Linked DNA regions of Caenorhabditis elegans. The protein of the gene in region 1 purifies or fractionates together with the protein of each later gene. This does not show direct contact. Each region holds a gene or a part of one and is shown on either strand. Other genes may lie near its edges.

The links.
Region 2: the proteins of rpt-5 (region 1) and rpn-9 fractionate together in Caenorhabditis elegans (co-fractionation; one large-scale study listed by BioGRID). This does not show direct contact.
Region 3: the proteins of rpt-5 (region 1) and vha-13 fractionate together in Caenorhabditis elegans (co-fractionation; one large-scale study listed by BioGRID). This does not show direct contact.
Region 4: the proteins of rpt-5 (region 1) and pbs-3 fractionate together in Caenorhabditis elegans (co-fractionation; one large-scale study listed by BioGRID). This does not show direct contact.

The regions. Positions count from the first base shown.
Region 1 is NC_003279.8:5,741,304-5,745,439, reverse strand, and holds rpt-5 (26S protease regulatory subunit 6A), read left to right. Parts: upstream 1-1,868; 5' UTR 1,869-1,885; coding exon 1,886-2,546; intron 2,547-2,638; coding exon 2,639-2,931; intron 2,932-2,995; coding exon 2,996-3,141; intron 3,142-3,196; coding exon 3,197-3,389; 3' UTR 3,390-3,572; downstream 3,573-4,136. Other genes in the region: rad-8 (Reticulon-4-interacting protein 1, mitochondrial), read right to left, coding at 1-121, 169-297, 344-482, 528-820, 874-1,062, 1,107-1,256. UniProt on the Caenorhabditis elegans protein: Component of the 26S proteasome, a multiprotein complex involved in the ATP-dependent degradation of ubiquitinated proteins.
Region 2 is NC_003280.10:11,236,906-11,240,539, reverse strand, and holds rpn-9 (26S proteasome non-ATPase regulatory subunit 13), read left to right. Parts: upstream 1-1,620; 5' UTR 1,621-1,621; coding exon 1,622-1,716; intron 1,717-1,765; coding exon 1,766-2,345; intron 2,346-2,394; coding exon 2,395-2,781; intron 2,782-2,831; coding exon 2,832-2,933; 3' UTR 2,934-3,093; downstream 3,094-3,634. Other genes in the region: T06D8.9 (Store-operated calcium entry-associated regulatory factor), read right to left, coding at 27-415, 468-697, 747-822; FUN14 domain-containing protein fndc-1, read left to right, coding at 3,221-3,391, 3,444-3,580.
Region 3 is NC_003283.11:14,349,993-14,354,986, reverse strand, and holds vha-13 (V-type proton ATPase catalytic subunit A), read right to left. Parts: upstream 3,279-4,994; 5' UTR 3,271-3,278; coding exon 2,446-3,270; intron 2,165-2,445; coding exon 1,936-2,164; intron 1,836-1,935; coding exon 1,069-1,835; 3' UTR 565-1,068; downstream 1-564. Other genes in the region: Y49A3A.3 (tRNA:m(4)X modification enzyme TRM13), read right to left, coding at 1-2, 45-537; cept-2 (diacylglycerol cholinephosphotransferase), read right to left, coding at 4,543-4,994. UniProt on the Caenorhabditis elegans protein: Catalytic subunit of the V1 complex of vacuolar(H+)-ATPase (V-ATPase), a multisubunit enzyme composed of a peripheral complex (V1) that hydrolyzes ATP and a membrane integral complex (V0) that translocates protons.
Region 4 is NC_003280.10:4,953,963-4,957,452, reverse strand, and holds pbs-3 (Proteasome subunit beta type-3), read left to right. Parts: upstream 1-2,025; 5' UTR 2,026-2,065; coding exon 2,066-2,118; intron 2,119-2,169; coding exon 2,170-2,567; intron 2,568-2,616; coding exon 2,617-2,780; 3' UTR 2,781-2,973; downstream 2,974-3,490. Other genes in the region: ulp-2 (Ubiquitin-like protease 2), read left to right, coding at 1-14, 286-388, 440-1,010, 1,061-1,447; ndx-3 (Nudix hydrolase 3), read right to left, coding at 3,037-3,174, 3,219-3,490. UniProt on the Caenorhabditis elegans protein: Non-catalytic component of the proteasome, a multicatalytic proteinase complex which is characterized by its ability to cleave peptides with Arg, Phe, Tyr, Leu, and Glu adjacent to the leaving group at neutral or slightly basic pH.

The DNA.
Region 1 (4,136 bases):
CCATCACTTGTTCTACAACCGGAACAATTTTCCCGTCTTCTGCGAAACGAGATAACTGACTCATCAGATCCGAACTTGGTCTGAAGAAGGCGTATGAAAACCAACGACCTCGTAAGTGGCTCTGAAAAATATATTGTTATAGTTGCGGGTACATATTTCAAAAATTACTTGGAAAGATCTTTCAAAATGCTTCATCGCAGTCGTTACAAGACCTAACGGAACTCCATTTTTATCCATTTCTCTCATCAAAGGGGAGACAATTGATACGTGGACACAATTACGCCATACTCCCATAACCTGAAGTAGTTTTATACATTAATTTCCACTTCTCAATTATATTTACATTATCACTCCACTTTGCTAGCTGGGAATCGACAGTATCAAGAATAACTTCAAATGGTGCATGCTCAATCAATTCCTGAGTCGCCTGGTCTGATGTGTAGTCGACTGGAATTGCACCAAGTTGCTTCACAATATCGAAACTACAATTTTTATTTGAAAAATTGCAAAGATATAGATAATCTAACCTGCCCTTTGCACACGTTGCCACTATCTTTTCACATCCCCATGCTTTCAATAGCTGGATTGCCATACTTCCAACTCCTCCGGCTCCTCCATGAATCAAAACTCTTTGTTGTTTGGCATTTCGTTGTGAGACCCTGGCTATTGTAAAAGCTGAGTAGGCTGTCGATGCGACGTAAGGAAGTGCGGCAGCTGATACAAAGCTCAAATTGCTGGGCTTTTTAGAGCAATACTTCGAATCAGTGACAACAAACTCGGCATGTGTGCCTGGAAGAATTACAGGAACAACAGCCATAACCTGAAAACATACGATATTTAATCATGAATCGATGCATAATAGGATTTCGTTACCTCATCACCGGGAGCTAAATTGTGCACATCGCCACCAACAGATTCTACAACAGCTGTACAATCTCTTCCTGGAATTAGAGGGAATCTAGACGCGGCTGCATCACAGGACTCTATTTTTTTCCACGTCCCTAGGAATTCTCTACCGTATCCTTGAGACATGTCAACATCGATCGGATTAACAGACGCTGCCTACAAATATTTAAATTGCTTGAATCAAGAAATATTAATCTCACTTTAACTTTTAGAAGGACTTGTCCTGGTTTGTTTATGACTGGAAGCGGCACTTCTTTGAGCTCAACTCCAGATCCGTTTTCAGAGACCCATGCACGCATCGTTGATGATTTTGTTGAGAAAAATCTTCGTAGAATCATTTTTTCGATCATTTTGCTGAAAATTTCATGTGGAAATAACTTTTTTCTGATAAAAACAAATAAAACTGCACGAAGACTTCAAGTGTCGTAAAATTAAATGCCTTCTGTGTGGTTCACCGCGACGCTAAATTGCACAAATCATCCTTTTCAAAATTTCTCGTTCTTTTGGATTCTTTATCATTTACTGAAGGCTAAAAAGCTTATTATTGTTTTTTTTTAAGTTTATATTCAAAATTTTTTATCTTGAGAACTCATTAAAGATATTTTGAAGATAGTAACACAAATTTTAAACTTTTTTAAATAATATTTAGCTAGCCAAAACAGATTTTGTGGACGGAACGTAAACCTAATAGTAAGCTAAATACTGACGTAACCTTTGGGCCATCGTGAAATTATCAAGTCAAACTTTCTTTTATTCTAATCATTATTTCTCGTGATAAACACTTTCTCTCATTGTCACTCGCTCAATACACATTAGCGTTCGTTTAATTTTTTGAACTAAATATTCTCATTTACACCGCATTGTGTTACTGATTTTATTTTATTGTCCAGAACTTTGACTTTGCGTTATTCTCTGGAACTACTTTTCAGATCTCACCAGAAGCAATTACAACTAATTTTCAGGCCCCAGAAGCAGTACAATGTCGCAAACACCACCGCCAAAAGACGGAAAAAACCCAGAGGCAATGGAGGTGGAGGATGCTATTGATGAGGAGATTCTGAAAATGTCGACGGAAGATCTCAAAAGCCGTACCCACTTGTTGGACAACGAGATTCGTATTATGAGAAGTGAAGTTCAACGTATCAATCATTCTGCAACCACTCTCAAAGAACGGATCAAGGAGAATACTGAACGTATCAAAGTTAACAAAACTCTTCCGTACTTGGTGTCCAACGTTGTCGAACTTCTTGATCTCGAGGATAATACAGAAGAAGAAGGCGCAAATGTTGATCTCGATGCCCAAAAAACCAAGTGCGCAGTCATTAAGACTTCCACTCGTGCCACATATTTCTTACCAGTTGTTGGACTTGTCGATCCAGATGAGTTGAAGCCAGGAGATCTCGTTGGTGTCAATAAGGATTCATATTTGATTCTTGAAAAATTACCAGCAGAATATGATTCTCGTGTGAAGGCTATGGAAGTTGACGAACGGCCAACTGAACAATATTCCGATATCGGAGGATGTGACAAGCAAATTCAGGAGCTGATTGAAGCTGTTGTGCTTCCAATGACTCACAAGGATCGATTTGTTAATTTGGGTATTCATCCTCCAAAGGGTGTGCTCATGTATGGACCACCAGGTAAGATTACGAAAAATTTTTGATAAAGTAGTACTCCTAGAAAATAACCATTTTAATTACAACAGCTCAAGTGTAAATTATTCGTTTTTCAGGAACTGGTAAAACGATGATGGCCCGTGCGGTTGCTGCCCAAACTAAATCAACATTCTTGAAGCTCGCAGGCCCACAACTTGTTCAGATGTTCATTGGAGATGGAGCCAAGCTTGTTCGTGATGCTTTTGCTCTTGCTAAGGAAAAGGCTCCAGCTATTATTTTCATTGATGAGTTGGATGCCATTGGTACGAAGCGATTCGATTCAGAGAAAGCTGGAGATCGTGAAGTGCAACGTACCATGTTGGAACTTCTTAATCAACTTGATGGCTTCCAACCAAATGATGATATCAAGGTAAGCTGAGTTCCATTTTAAGTTATATTTTTAAGACGGTATAAGCTGTAAATATGAATTTAAGGTCATTGCTGCAACGAACCGTATCGATGTGCTCGATCCCGCTCTTCTTCGTTCTGGTCGTCTCGATCGTAAAATTGAGCTTCCCCATCCGAACGAGGATGCCCGTGCCAGAATCATGCAGATTCATTCCAGGAAGATGAATGTCAAGTATGTTTTCGCGACAGTTTTATTTGTAAAATTTAGTCTAATTAATTTTTTTCAGCAAGGATGTAAACTTTGAAGAACTGGCCCGCTGTACCGATGACTTCAACGGAGCACAATGCAAAGCGGTTTGTGTTGAAGCTGGAATGATTGCTCTTCGACGAGATGCTACTGAGATTCTTCATGAAGACTTTATGGATGCTATTCTGGAGGTCCAGGCAAAGAAAAAGGCGTCCCTCAATTACTACGCTTAATCCTTCACTCCCGGTTGTCACTGTGTTCCCTTTGAATCGCTCCCGAATTTTCTCACGCGATTTTTTCTTACTTTCATCTTTCGTATTCTATTCCCACCCCTCTCCTGTTTTTATTGATTCATCCTCGAAGTGCGTGGATTCCTAATTTATTTCCGATCAATGTGCATAAATGGTCACTCTTCGAAATGTGTTTCTTTCACTGTTTCAACATTCTGCGTGCTCTTCAAACATTTAGCGAGACATCTCAAATTGTAACTTGACCGATCCAGAAGTCAGTACTGACGTCAGTGAAACGTATGCAGAGAAAAGCTAAAGTGCAATCGCGCCCCAGTGCCAAATGGAAACGCTCCGCCTCTTTCATTTGGGTCTCGTTAGATAGAAAGTATTTTCTTTTTTGAAAATATTTATCAATTGAAATATCTTTACAATTACTGTTATCAATTTCATTATTGAATAATGCGAAGTGTATCAGATAATTATTTAGTAGTTGCACATGAAATTGGGGATCCTGTAAGCATCGAATCTTCGGAACCAACACCTCTTTTGAACCACTCTCCATCGATGCAGAAAAGTTCGGAAAGTATAAAGGGATTTTTCTCGAGCTGTAAATATTTGTATTTCATTGATTATCTTTCTGAAATAATTTTAATCTTACAGGTGGTGTATCTGTTACCAATTCTTTTGTCTTATGACTATATGCTACTACTTTTGATTGCGGAGGACACAAAGCAGAAATTGCATTACAAT
Region 2 (3,634 bases), on another chromosome or scaffold:
GGTCATTTTTATTTAAAATTCCTTACCATCCACCTCCAGATTGCGAGTCACCACGGAACCCATATGGCGGTGGCTTGGAGTAGTCGTCATATGGTGGAGGAGCACTTGGATAACCACCTGGACCACCACCTCCTCCGCCGGATCCTGGGCCTCCAGGACCTCCTGATCCACCAGAAGTGTAGCCAGAGCTTTCTGGGTTCTGATTTCTGTTAGTCCACATCGCGTAGATAATGTAGGCGATGAAGGCGACGACGACGAACGTGGCGAACTGATCCCATCGATCCTGGGATGACTTTCGAGAAACTGATCTGTTACCGCTCGCAGAATTGTACTCGAGCTCATACTCCAACCCGCAAGATCCTCTCAGGATGTATGGATCCTCTGCGTAATCGTATCCTTCACATGAAACACTGATCTGAAACAAGAAACATTTTTTGAAGCGAGATGGAAATATTTAAAAAACTAACGGATCCGAATTCCATATCATGTGGCAAATCTGCATCACATCTCCACTGCACATCCGAACCATCAAAACCTTGATTTGCACACTGAACCACCTTTGGGGTGAAGGCACCTTTCGCGGATCCACCGACACACTTCAACTGGAAGGTTGGAGAAACTCGTCGTCCTGTCGTCATTTTTCCTTTGTGTAGAGTAATTGCTGATACATCGCGAAGAAGAACTTTGTCAGAGGCCGCTGAAATTCATTTGTATTATTGAAACAAATAATCAAAAGAAAAACTTACCAGAAGTTTCGAAGAATACCACTGTGAACACCAGAAGCATCCATAAAAGGAAACTCGTTGTAAATCGAGAGATCATCTGAAAAAAGAAACTAACAATTAGGAATTTTGAACGAGTAATCAATAGAAAGTAGTATGAACATTGAAATAGTACCGGAAGATAAGAACGAAGCACCAGAGATTAATTTTGAAGCGTTGCAGTGAAAGGGAGAAAAGATGATAATGAAGAAAACGAATGATAGGATATGTGACGTGTAACAACACGGAATTTTCAGAAATTTCGAAATACTTGGATCATTTTTTTGCAAATCAAGAAAAAAGATAATACGAGAATAAGCGAGGAAAATCTATTGGATGGACACAATTTTACAGCAACGCCTTTGTTTGACATAATTTTTATTCAGAGTTGCGATTTTTATCAGATTTCGCTATAAACCAAGAAGAAAACACACAAATCTGGAAGGAAAACCTGAAAAGCTGTGTTGCCAGCTGGCGGATAAATCGAGAAGGGTGTTCGCACTTTAAAAACAATATCTTCTGTTAAAAAACAATAAAATAAATTAAGAAAAATAAATTGTTGCAAGCGCGCCCTATCGCATATGTTGAAGAGACTGTAGACGCAGACATATGGCCGTGACCGAAAACATTGTCTTTCGCGTCTCGATATTTCCAAAGTGAAAGGCCATGCGCCTTTAATTGCTGACAAATAAAATTCAAAAAAAGTTTTTTGTTTTGATTTTTGTGAGAGCGCGCTCGCCAAAAATGTTCATTTTAGCTATTCGAAATCCATTTTTGTTTTGATTGCTCCTACTCCTTCATTTTCTTTCTTCTTCACTCATTTCTCGTCTCAATTTTTAATGTATCGAGAATTTCTCAGGATGACTGCTCAAGACTACCTCAACGGAAAGCTGGCGGCTGCCAATGGACCTCTGGCCGATGACTGGAAGAATCTCAAGGAGCTCTGGGAGAAAAAGTAAGAATCAATTGTTTTTGTAGACACAAACTATTTCACTAATTTTCAGGCTCTGGCATCAACTAACGGTTCTGACACGATCCCTTGTGAAGAAGCCACAATTTGTGGCTTCAACGGACATGCACGAATTCTACAGACTGTTCGTGGCGGAGTGGGAGCTGCGTGTCAACCCTCTTCAGCTCGTCGAGATTTGCATTTCGATCGCCCAAAATATCGCGACAAAGGACAAGCAAAAATCTATGGAATTCCTGTCAAAAATTGGAAACGTCATCAACAAGGACAAGATTGCCGTTGCTCGACTTCATACCGGAGAGATTGAAGCCAGACTGGAGAACAAGGACAAAAATGGACAGATTATTGATCTGAAGAGCATTCGAACTCAAATCGATTCGACACAACACGAAGTGGACTCACTTGTCGGAGTTACAGAAGTTCATGCCCCGTTCTACCGCGTCTCATCTTTATATCTTCGTGAAGTTGGAGACTTCGCTGGATATTATCGCGAAGCTCTTCGTTATCTTGGAGTTGAGGACGCCAATAATCTGACAACAGAACAGAAGCAAGTCCATGCGGTTCTTCTCGGTTTCGCTGCTCTTCTGGGAGAAAACGTGCACAACTTCGGAGAATTGGTTTGTTGAAACTCTCAATTTAAATTCCCCCAATAAACGGTTTTTTCAGCTTGCTCACCCCATCCTCAAATCGCTCGAAGGAACTCGTGAACGCTGGATCGTGGACGTGCTTCTTGCCTTCAATTCGGGAGATTTGACGCGCTTCTTCTCGCTCGAAGGAGATTGGGGAGGCTGGGACGATTTGAAGAAGCAAAAGGATTTCCTGACTGCCAAAATCCGTCTGATGGCTGTCATGGAACTTGCAGTCTCTCGTCCAACCAAAGCCAGAAGCGTTTCATTCAAAGAAATCGCCACGAAGTGCCAGATCCCATTCGACGAAGTTGAGTTCTTGGTGATGAAGGCGTTGAGCAAGGATCTCATTCGTGGAGATATCAATCAAGTTGAGCAAGTTGTCTACGTGACATGGGTGCAGCCAAGAGTTTTAGATAATCCTCAGGTATAAGAATTGATTATAAGTTTTTAAAATACTTATTTTCTTTTTTTCAGATAATGCAAATGGCGACTCGCATTTCCGCATGGAGGAACGATGTCAACTCCATGGAAGGAATCGTCAGCAAAGAGGCACGCGAGATTCTCACTCAAAATTAAATCATCTCATTTCTTTAATTTATTTTCTCCATGCTCCCCCATCCCAATCCCGGAATCCTCTATTTTTATAATTACACTGCTACGTGTATTCTACAATTTCAAGATCGTTCAGTCTTCTTTCTGTGTGTATTTATTTGAATTCATAAATTAATCGACTGTGAATATATTGAATTTTCTCGATGTCAGATGTGACTAACACCGTGTCAATAGTTCACTAGTACTTTTCAATACTTAACATTCGGGTTCTCTTCGTCTTCGAGTAATGTAGTACTGTGATTGTTCCAGCCATGGTTGATCTTTCAAAAAACGACGGAGGCAGTGGAAAAGCCGGAAAAGGTGTGAGTGATGCCATCGATACAGTCCTCTACTACGTTGTTGATCTGAAAAAGCAGCAGCCGATGGTCCAGCTGGGTGTTGGTGCTGGATTCGGGACAGTGACTGGATATTTTGTCACCAAGGTATTTAAAATTGGTGGTTCTAGAGAAATATTTAATTTTTAAATATTTTCAGGGAGGACGTCTTGTTGCTGCCACAGTGGGAATCTCTTTCCTGTTGGCTCAATTCGCTATTCACAAAGGATACATCACGCTGAACGAATCAAAAATCGAACGAGACATGAAAAATCTACACAAGTCCGTCATGAACAAGTAAGCTTGAATTTTACGAAAAAAAAATAGAATAAAACGAAAATCGTATATTAT
Region 3 (4,994 bases), on another chromosome or scaffold:
ACCTGAAAAGAAAATTATTAAAATGGAAATGCATTTTATAAAACCTAAAATAGACGAAATCTGGTATAATTGCTTCTTTTTCGTGTTGTTCAGATCTGAATTTTGTGCGATATTTTGCTCGACGAGCTCATTTCTTTGTTGCTCAACAATCAAACGATCCATTACATCCGTCTCATAGCACTTCCAGATCTTGTGCACAGTGGTACAAATCTCATCTTCAGTGGCTCTTCGATCAATTTTATCGGTGCGTTTGGTCTCGCCACGAATAGAATTTGCATCAATTTTGATATATTCTGCATCTCTGATTCTAGAATTACACCTTGTCAGATGAATCTCTAGATCTGCCTTCAGAATCGTATGTTTTCCATCATTCGGGCAAACCATACGATCAGTGTTATTCTGATCGTGAATTGAATGCTCTCCACAGAACCGATTTCCCTTTTTCACCAGCATCTTACACCGTCGCTTCTTAATTGGTAGAATATATTCACAGCAAGCGTTCTGCTGTTGTTGCTGCTTCACCGAATCCAATTCCATTTTGAAAACGAGACCTGCGTGCGAGATATTTGTGATTTTCCTAAAGTTTATTGCTATAGTTGAATTGGTGTGTCTCAAAAGTATTATACATATCACAACACAGTAAAACGTGGTTCGTAAGACTATACGGGTTGGTTGTCGCAAAAAAAGAAATGGAAGGGCACAAGTAAAGTAGTCTATTCAACAAGAAGAATACCAAAAATATTGATTAATATAAGTGAAATTGTTGTTTAAAACGGGAGTTGTAAGGCGACCAGATACATTGTGTGTGGTTGGAATTTTTTGAAGTTTAGAAATCTACAAAAGAGAAAAAAGGTGCAATAAATATCTGAAATTTGGAATGTCAAATCAATCAAACACTTTAAAGAGGATAAAAGTAGAGAAAGGAGGCGAATTGGGTGAGGGGATCAAGGAAAAACATATACTTTTAACTAAAAAGTACACGCTCAGCAAAACTGAACAGAATCTAGCGGGGAGGCGAAAACAGAAACAAACAAGAGAATCAATTTTAAAATTTCTAAAAACATTAATTTAATCCTCGAGGTTTCTGAAAGCGTTAGCCATAGCCTCTGCCAAATCTTCGTAATCCTTGCGAATCTTGGCTTCACCATCGGCAACTGGATCCTTGAATTTCATGGCAGAAAGCTGGTAGATCAAATCTCCCATGCTATCCTTGATGACGTTCCATGTGATCTTGTTATCAGATTGAGCAGTTGCTTCAACAGCATGACGGGCCAAGTCATAGAATCCAATCATATTCTTGAGCATACCGACAGTCTTGTAGAATGGGCAGAAACGATCGTATTTGGTGTATCCGTTCTGTTGCAAGAAATCGTCCTTGATGATCTTGGCAACCTCAAGTGTGACCTTGTCTGATTCGGCGAGGGAAGCTTTTCCGACGAGTTGCACAATTTCGGAAAGATCTTCTTCTTCCTGGAGGATCTCCTTGCACTTGGTACGGAGTGAGACGAACTCTGGGTAGTTCTTCTCGTAGAACTCCTCAAGAGCACGCATGTACTCGGAGTAGGAAATAAGCCAGTTAATAGATGGGAAATGTTTACGTTGAGCAAGCTTCTTGTCAAGTCCCCAGAACACCTGTACGATACCGAGGGTGGCGGATGTGACTGGATCGGCGAAATCTCCTCCTGGTGGTGATACGGCTCCGACAATGGTGACGGATCCTTCACGTTCTGGAGATCCGAGACACTTAACACGTCCGGCACGTTCGTAGAAGGAAGCGAGACGAGCGGCAAGGTAAGCTGGGTATCCGGAATCGGCGGGCATTTCTCCGAGACGTCCTGAAAAGAAAATTTGAAAATGTTCAGAGAAATTTCAAAAATATTAAGAAAAAAATATGAATTTCAAATATGAGTATATTTTAAACGGATTAAAACTCACCAGAAATCTCACGAAGAGCTTCGGCCCAACGAGAGGTAGAGTCAGCCATCATGGCAACGTTGAGACCCATGTCACGGAAATATTCGGCAAGGGTGATACCAGTGTAGATGGAAGCTTCACGAGCAGCGACAGGCATGTTGGAAGTGTTGGCGACAAGAGCTGTACGCTTCATGATGGAAGTGGTGACACCTTCGACCTCCATGGTGAGCTCTGGGAAATCACGGAGTACCTGAAAAACAGAAAAAATTAGAATTGTAAAAAATAGGGGCAAAATTGTTAATTTATAATTTAAATGCGGGACAAAACATTGGAAAAAGTAAGAAACATAAACCTTTTAATTTTTAATTGTTTTCTAAATTTTATTCTTAAACGAAACTATTCTGACTAAACTTTTTCACAATTTTTTTTTGAAAAATTAAAACTATTGATTCCAAAAACGAAATTATGGAAAGGCTTTCTTGTTTATTTGATTTTTTCTAATGTTTTTAAAATTATTTTCAAAAAAATTACCTCAGACATTTCGTTTCCACGCTCTCCGCATCCGACGTAAATAATAGCATCAGAGTTGGAGTATTTGGAGAGAGATTGGGAAATGACAGTCTTTCCACATCCGAAAGCTCCTGGAATGGCGGTGGTTCCTCCTTGGACACATGGGAACAAGGCGTCGAGAACACGCTGTCCGCAGAGAAGTGGATTGTTGGCAGCGAGCTTCTCTGTGACTGGTCTTGGAGATCTGACAGGCCAGATTTGGAGCATAGAGAATTTCTGCTTGCGTCCGGCGAATTCGAGCTCGAGAAGGGTGTCCTCAACTGTGTATTGCCCGGATGGAGCAACGAAGGTGATGGTTCCGCATGCACTTGGTGGTAGAAGAATCTTGTGCTTGATGAGCAAGTTCTCATCGACGGTTCCAATGATGTCACCTCCGGTCACGTGTCCTCCAACACGGAGATCCTTGGACACAACGAAGTCCCAGCGAGCTTCACGAGAAAGAGCATTAGTGGAGACTCCCTTTGGAATGTAGATGGATTGAGTAATATCAGCAATATCCTTGAGTGGACGCTGAATTCCGTCGAAAATCGATCCCATGATACCTGGTCCAAGTTCGACGGAAAGTGGTTTACCGGTACGAAGTACTGGATCTCCGATTGTGACTCCAGATGTTTCCTCGTATACTTGAATAGTGGCGTAGTCACCCTCGAGACGAATAATCTCTCCGACGAGCTCTTGATGTCCTACACGAACCAACTCGTACATAGCCGATCCAGCCATCTTCTCGGCTGTGACGACAGGTCCGGACACTCCGTAAACGAATCCGTACGAAGATTCTGCGGCCATCTTTTCCTGGAATGAATGAATTTAGAAAGCTATATGGAAATCGAAAAGAAAATCAAAATAAACCTCGTTTTTCAACAAGAAGACCGAAAAGACAATGGAATTTTTAGGTTTAGAAGTAGGAAAACTCATTAATTCGAGCAATAATGCAAAATATAAAATACAAAGAATAGATATAAAGTGGCAGGGCAATGTTTAATCGGATAAACTTGAACCCTTATAAATATTCAACGAGAATTGGAATATAAATCAATTTATCATTCAATTTACAAGAACTTTTGTAAAGGAAAAAATCAAAGTAAAGGTAAACGAGACAAAAAAACGAGTAATTCCTGTGACTAAACGGGGGGAGAGAGATGTGGTAAAAAAGCTCACAGAAGTTGTTGGAAAAAGCGGAAGATGTGGAAGAGAGCGCACTGCACGGCATTCTACAACGAATAGAAGTGGTTCGATTGACAAGGAGAAACGTCGGCAGGCTAGCGAGAGACAGCGCGCCGAGAGCAGAGAGCAGATAGAGAGAGCGTGGCCGTGGCGGTCGCAAAAACCAGGAACCGCCGGTCGTGCGACTAGAAATCATCGCCGCGTTGCAGCTTCGCCCTATTGAACCGAGAATTTTATACAGCGAGGAGTGAATGTGAGAGAGTGAATTTTGTGTGGCAGAAGTTGTGTAGGTTTACGTCTATCTAGGTAGCGGGGAGAAAAGGTTACACGTCTGTCATCAAGCGAAATTTGATAAACTAATGTGGAAGCGAAGTTACTCTATTAGATAGGAAAAATATGATTTGCGAGGTTTGAGCGGAAAATTTATGTTCGTTTGGAACTATTTTCAAGTTATTCGCCTTAACAATTGGACCACAGTATCATTATAACAATAGTTGTTTTCTAAATTTCGATTAAATAGATACGAAAAAAAAGAAAAATTATATCCGCAAACTCTGAAAAAAAAGTTAAACCAATATTTCCATACAGTAATCTCTTCAAAGGCACAGGACGCTCAAAAACGAAAGGTCTCGCAACGAAAATGTAATTTTCTCCCCAATTTGCTCATTCAGTTATTTAGAATTACGTAGTCGTTAGAATTCTTGAAGGTTTAGACGATGAGACAAAAAAAAAGATGAAAAGTGATTGATCTGTGGTTGTGATAAGAAATTGAGACCGCGACGCATTACGCGTTGCACTTCAAAACATTCCTTTTCCGCTCATAAACACCCGCATTTACAATTAAAATTACAAATTACTATAGGTGAAAAGCCATATTTAATTATACAATCGAAATTACTTGCTACTTCCAGCTCTTGGTGCAGTGACTTTGAAACAATAAATGCCCATATGGTCGCAAATTTGGCGCGTTATGAATAAACAGTAGACTAAAAGTGATGCATAAACGTAAACAGTCGTGTACTTCAGAAGAGTTGGCTCATTGATTTTGATGTCGTAGTATTGATTGATCATCAATGCGATTGGCCCCATGTAGATCCAATCCCAAAGTGAGAGCTCACTTCTGCTCATGTGTGCAACAATCAGACGATTTGTGGCTTTTGCCGCAACGGCTCCAAATTGAAGAACAAATATAACAATAAGATCATCATAGACGCCAGATGCCGATTTGCTGTAGATCATACAATATGGAACAATGACTGCAAGAAGTGGGCAGGCTGGGAAGAGAACTGATGTTCCAGCAACAGTTGATCCATTCTTTCCAACACCATCTGTGAAGATGACTGATA
Region 4 (3,490 bases), on another chromosome or scaffold:
GGATCCTGTAGTGTGTAAGTTTAATATTACTCGGATTTTTGTTGAATTCAAACAGTTATGCCCCTTTAAAAAAATATTGTAGCTTCAAGACTTTTCTGGATTTTCATCAATTTTTTTCATTTTTTTCATTTTTGAAAAACACCAAGAAATAATAATATAAACTTTATTTAAAGGCGCATACCTATTTGCATTTAACAAAACTTTATTGTGGTGAGACCAAGCAAAGTACTGTCTGCGCAAAATAGGTTACTGTAACTGTTCCCTCATAGAATCCATGAATTTCAGTGCTCGTCAAGGATATCAAAACACTGGATCGCAAAGAATTCCTGAATGACAGCGTCATGGCATTTATGCTGAATTATATTGCATTTATGCTTTCGTCCGAGCTGTAAGTTTCATTAAACATCATTGGATTTTAAAAATTATAATTTAATTACAGAATGAAATCCGTGCATATGTGCAACACGTTCTTATTCGTCAATCTGACTCGCCTACTTCCACCATTGTGCTTCTCCAAAAGACGACCAATCGAACCAGAACACATAAAAATCGTGAAAGACAATTGCCCTCGAGTTCTCCGTTGGACACGAAAATTCGATGTTCTTGCCAAAGATTATATTATCATTCCGATCAACGAAGATCTTCACTGGCTCGTCATCGCTGTTATCAATCCATCGGGTGCAATTGTCGATATGTCGAATGAGGAAGCTTCCAGAGCTGCTCCGAAGTGTTATATTGTATTCTTCGATCCGTTGAGTGGTCTCGATCCAAGCAAGAAGAATCATATGTGTCACTGCATCAAGATTTATTTGGCTCAATTGTATGAAAACACTAAGGCTCCTGGAATGAAATTTGCGTCGAAGAATCCAACGATTTACGATGAGGAGAGAGTTGTCGTGACTCGTGCTGAAAACACTCCAATCCAAGACAACTTTTATGATTGTGGACTTTATGTATTGCATTTCATTGAAGGGCTCTTCTGTTATCCGAACCGTCCGGTCAATGTGAACGTAAGTAAATCTTCATGAAACATCACAATAAATAAACACTTTTAATTCAGGATTTTCCAAACTTTGACTGGTCAAAGTTCTTCCCGGAGGCCAATAAAATGTGTGACTTGATGCGAGACAAAGTTTACAATTTGATTCTTCAACAAGCGGATAAACCTGCGAGAAGCCGTCTCGCCAAGTTCGAAAGGGAGAACAAATGTGGATTGTCGCGTGAAGGAGCTCTTAGGAAAGCACGTCGTCATAGTGCAGTGAATGAACGTCGTACGAAACGGCACAGAGACTATTATGCACGTCACTATTCCTTGAGCCCGCCACACCGAAATGTGATGAACGATGATCCGACGTTCATGAATCCACGTGGATTGGCGGAAATGCCAATAACTCGACTTGTTCGTCGCCTCAGAATTCCGGAGGATAACTTCCCAATCGCTTACTAGGCATTTTGATCAAAAATTTGTCTCCCCTCTCAAAAATTGCCGGTATTTTCTTCTCTTAGTTAATTTATTTTTTAAAGATTTTATTATCCTCCCATTTTTACGCTCTCTCCTTATTTCTGCGTTCTCCGTCATAAAGTGACAATTGTTATTTTTTCTTTATAACTTGATCACTCAATTTAATATTTTCAGTTGATCTCCACTCTTTTTTCCTCCTTTTATTAAAATTTCAATATTCTGTTCCATCAATTTTCCTTTTGTACACCCATTTCACATCTCCGCAACGGTTTCTAAATTTTCTATTTGACTTCAGATTGTTTTCTTACCGTGTATGCGTTTTTCCGTCGATAAATTCGCGTTTTTAATTAATTTTTTTCATGTTCTGTCTGAAGAAAATGGTCGATTTCCATAGGTTCTCTTCAGCAACCCTGGCACGCTATTAGTCTCCGCCCACTTTTCCCTGCCGCAGTTTCCTATTTGTAAGCAAAATGTCCGCCAAACGATTGAAACGCTCATTTCACTTCATTGTTTCTCTGTTTTATTAAATTTCCAGACATTCTCACACTCTCTTTCAATTTCAGATATATCTCTTCGTCTTAAAGACCAGAAAAACACTCAAAAATGTCGATTATGAGCTACACTGGTGGAACCGTCGTCGCCATGGCTGGAGACGAGTAAGTTTTAAATTTCATGGTTGAAATATTATTTTATTCTTATCTTTTCAGATGTGTGTGCATTGCTTCGGATCTTCGTATTGGAGAGCAGATGACAACAATTGCAACTGATCAGAAGAAAGTGCATAAGGTGACAGACAAGGTCTACGTAGGACTTGCTGGATTCCAATCCGATGCTCGCACAGTCTTGGAGAAAATTATGTTCCGCAAGAATTTGTATGAGCTCCGTGAGAATCGCAACATCAAGCCACAAGTGTTGTCCGAGATGATCTCGAATCTGGCTTATCAGCACCGCTTTGGCAGTTATTTCACCGAGCCACTCGTTGCTGGTTTGGACGACACCAACAAGCCATATATCTGCTGCATGGACACTATCGGATGTGTATCTGCTCCACGCGATTTCGTTGCTGTCGGAACGGGACAAGAGTACTTGCTTGGAGTTTGTGAAAGTGAGTTTTTTGAATTTTGTTTAACGTTCAATTTAAATACTTTTTACAGACTTCTGGCGCGAGAACATGAAGCCGGATGAGCTCTTCGAGGCTACTGCTCAGTCGATTCTTTCTTGCTTGGAGCGTGATGCTGCATCAGGTTGGGGAGCAGTCGTGTACACAATCACTAAGGATAAGGTTAACGTCTCAACTATCAAGGCTCGTATGGATTGAGAAATTTTCCCCGTTCCCAACATTAAGTGTATACAATTTAATCTAATTTATTTGTTTCTCTTTTCCCTGTCTCATCCCCACACCCCAGACCGACCGGTTACCGTATTTTTCAACTTTTAAATTCTTTTGTGTTGGTTCTTCAATATCGAGAATACATTTATCACCCATTATGACTTGTAAATGTTTTATCTTTAGTCTCCCGAAGTTTATGGCAACAATTCTACGAACAAAAAAAATACTACACAGATCCTAAGAATTAGAAAAATTTCACAATTAAATCATGCTTATAGACATCTGGATTCAGCAGGGTCAATGCTTGATGCAACATTACACCAGAAAGCCCCCAAACTCGCTGGGTGGAATGAAGATACTCGTTCGGAGCATTGTGATGGACCTGAAAAACTTAACATTTTTTCGGAAATTATTTAAAAAATAAACCTTGAACTCCGTGGAATCGAACGAAGGCAGTGTGTACTTCATTCTCTTGCTTTGGAATTTAGTTAGTCCGGCTTTTTTGATAAGTTCATCAATTGGAATCGTGAAAACAGCTTGTACTTCATCAGAGTTGACCACCAGATTCTCGAGAACTCGCTCATCGGAAATGTATCCAACAATCGGAGTAACATTGAAATCCGCTTGCCGTCTTATCACACTTTTCAAATGACCCCAGATTTCCACACTTTCAGCGTTAACCCCGATTTCTTCAAACG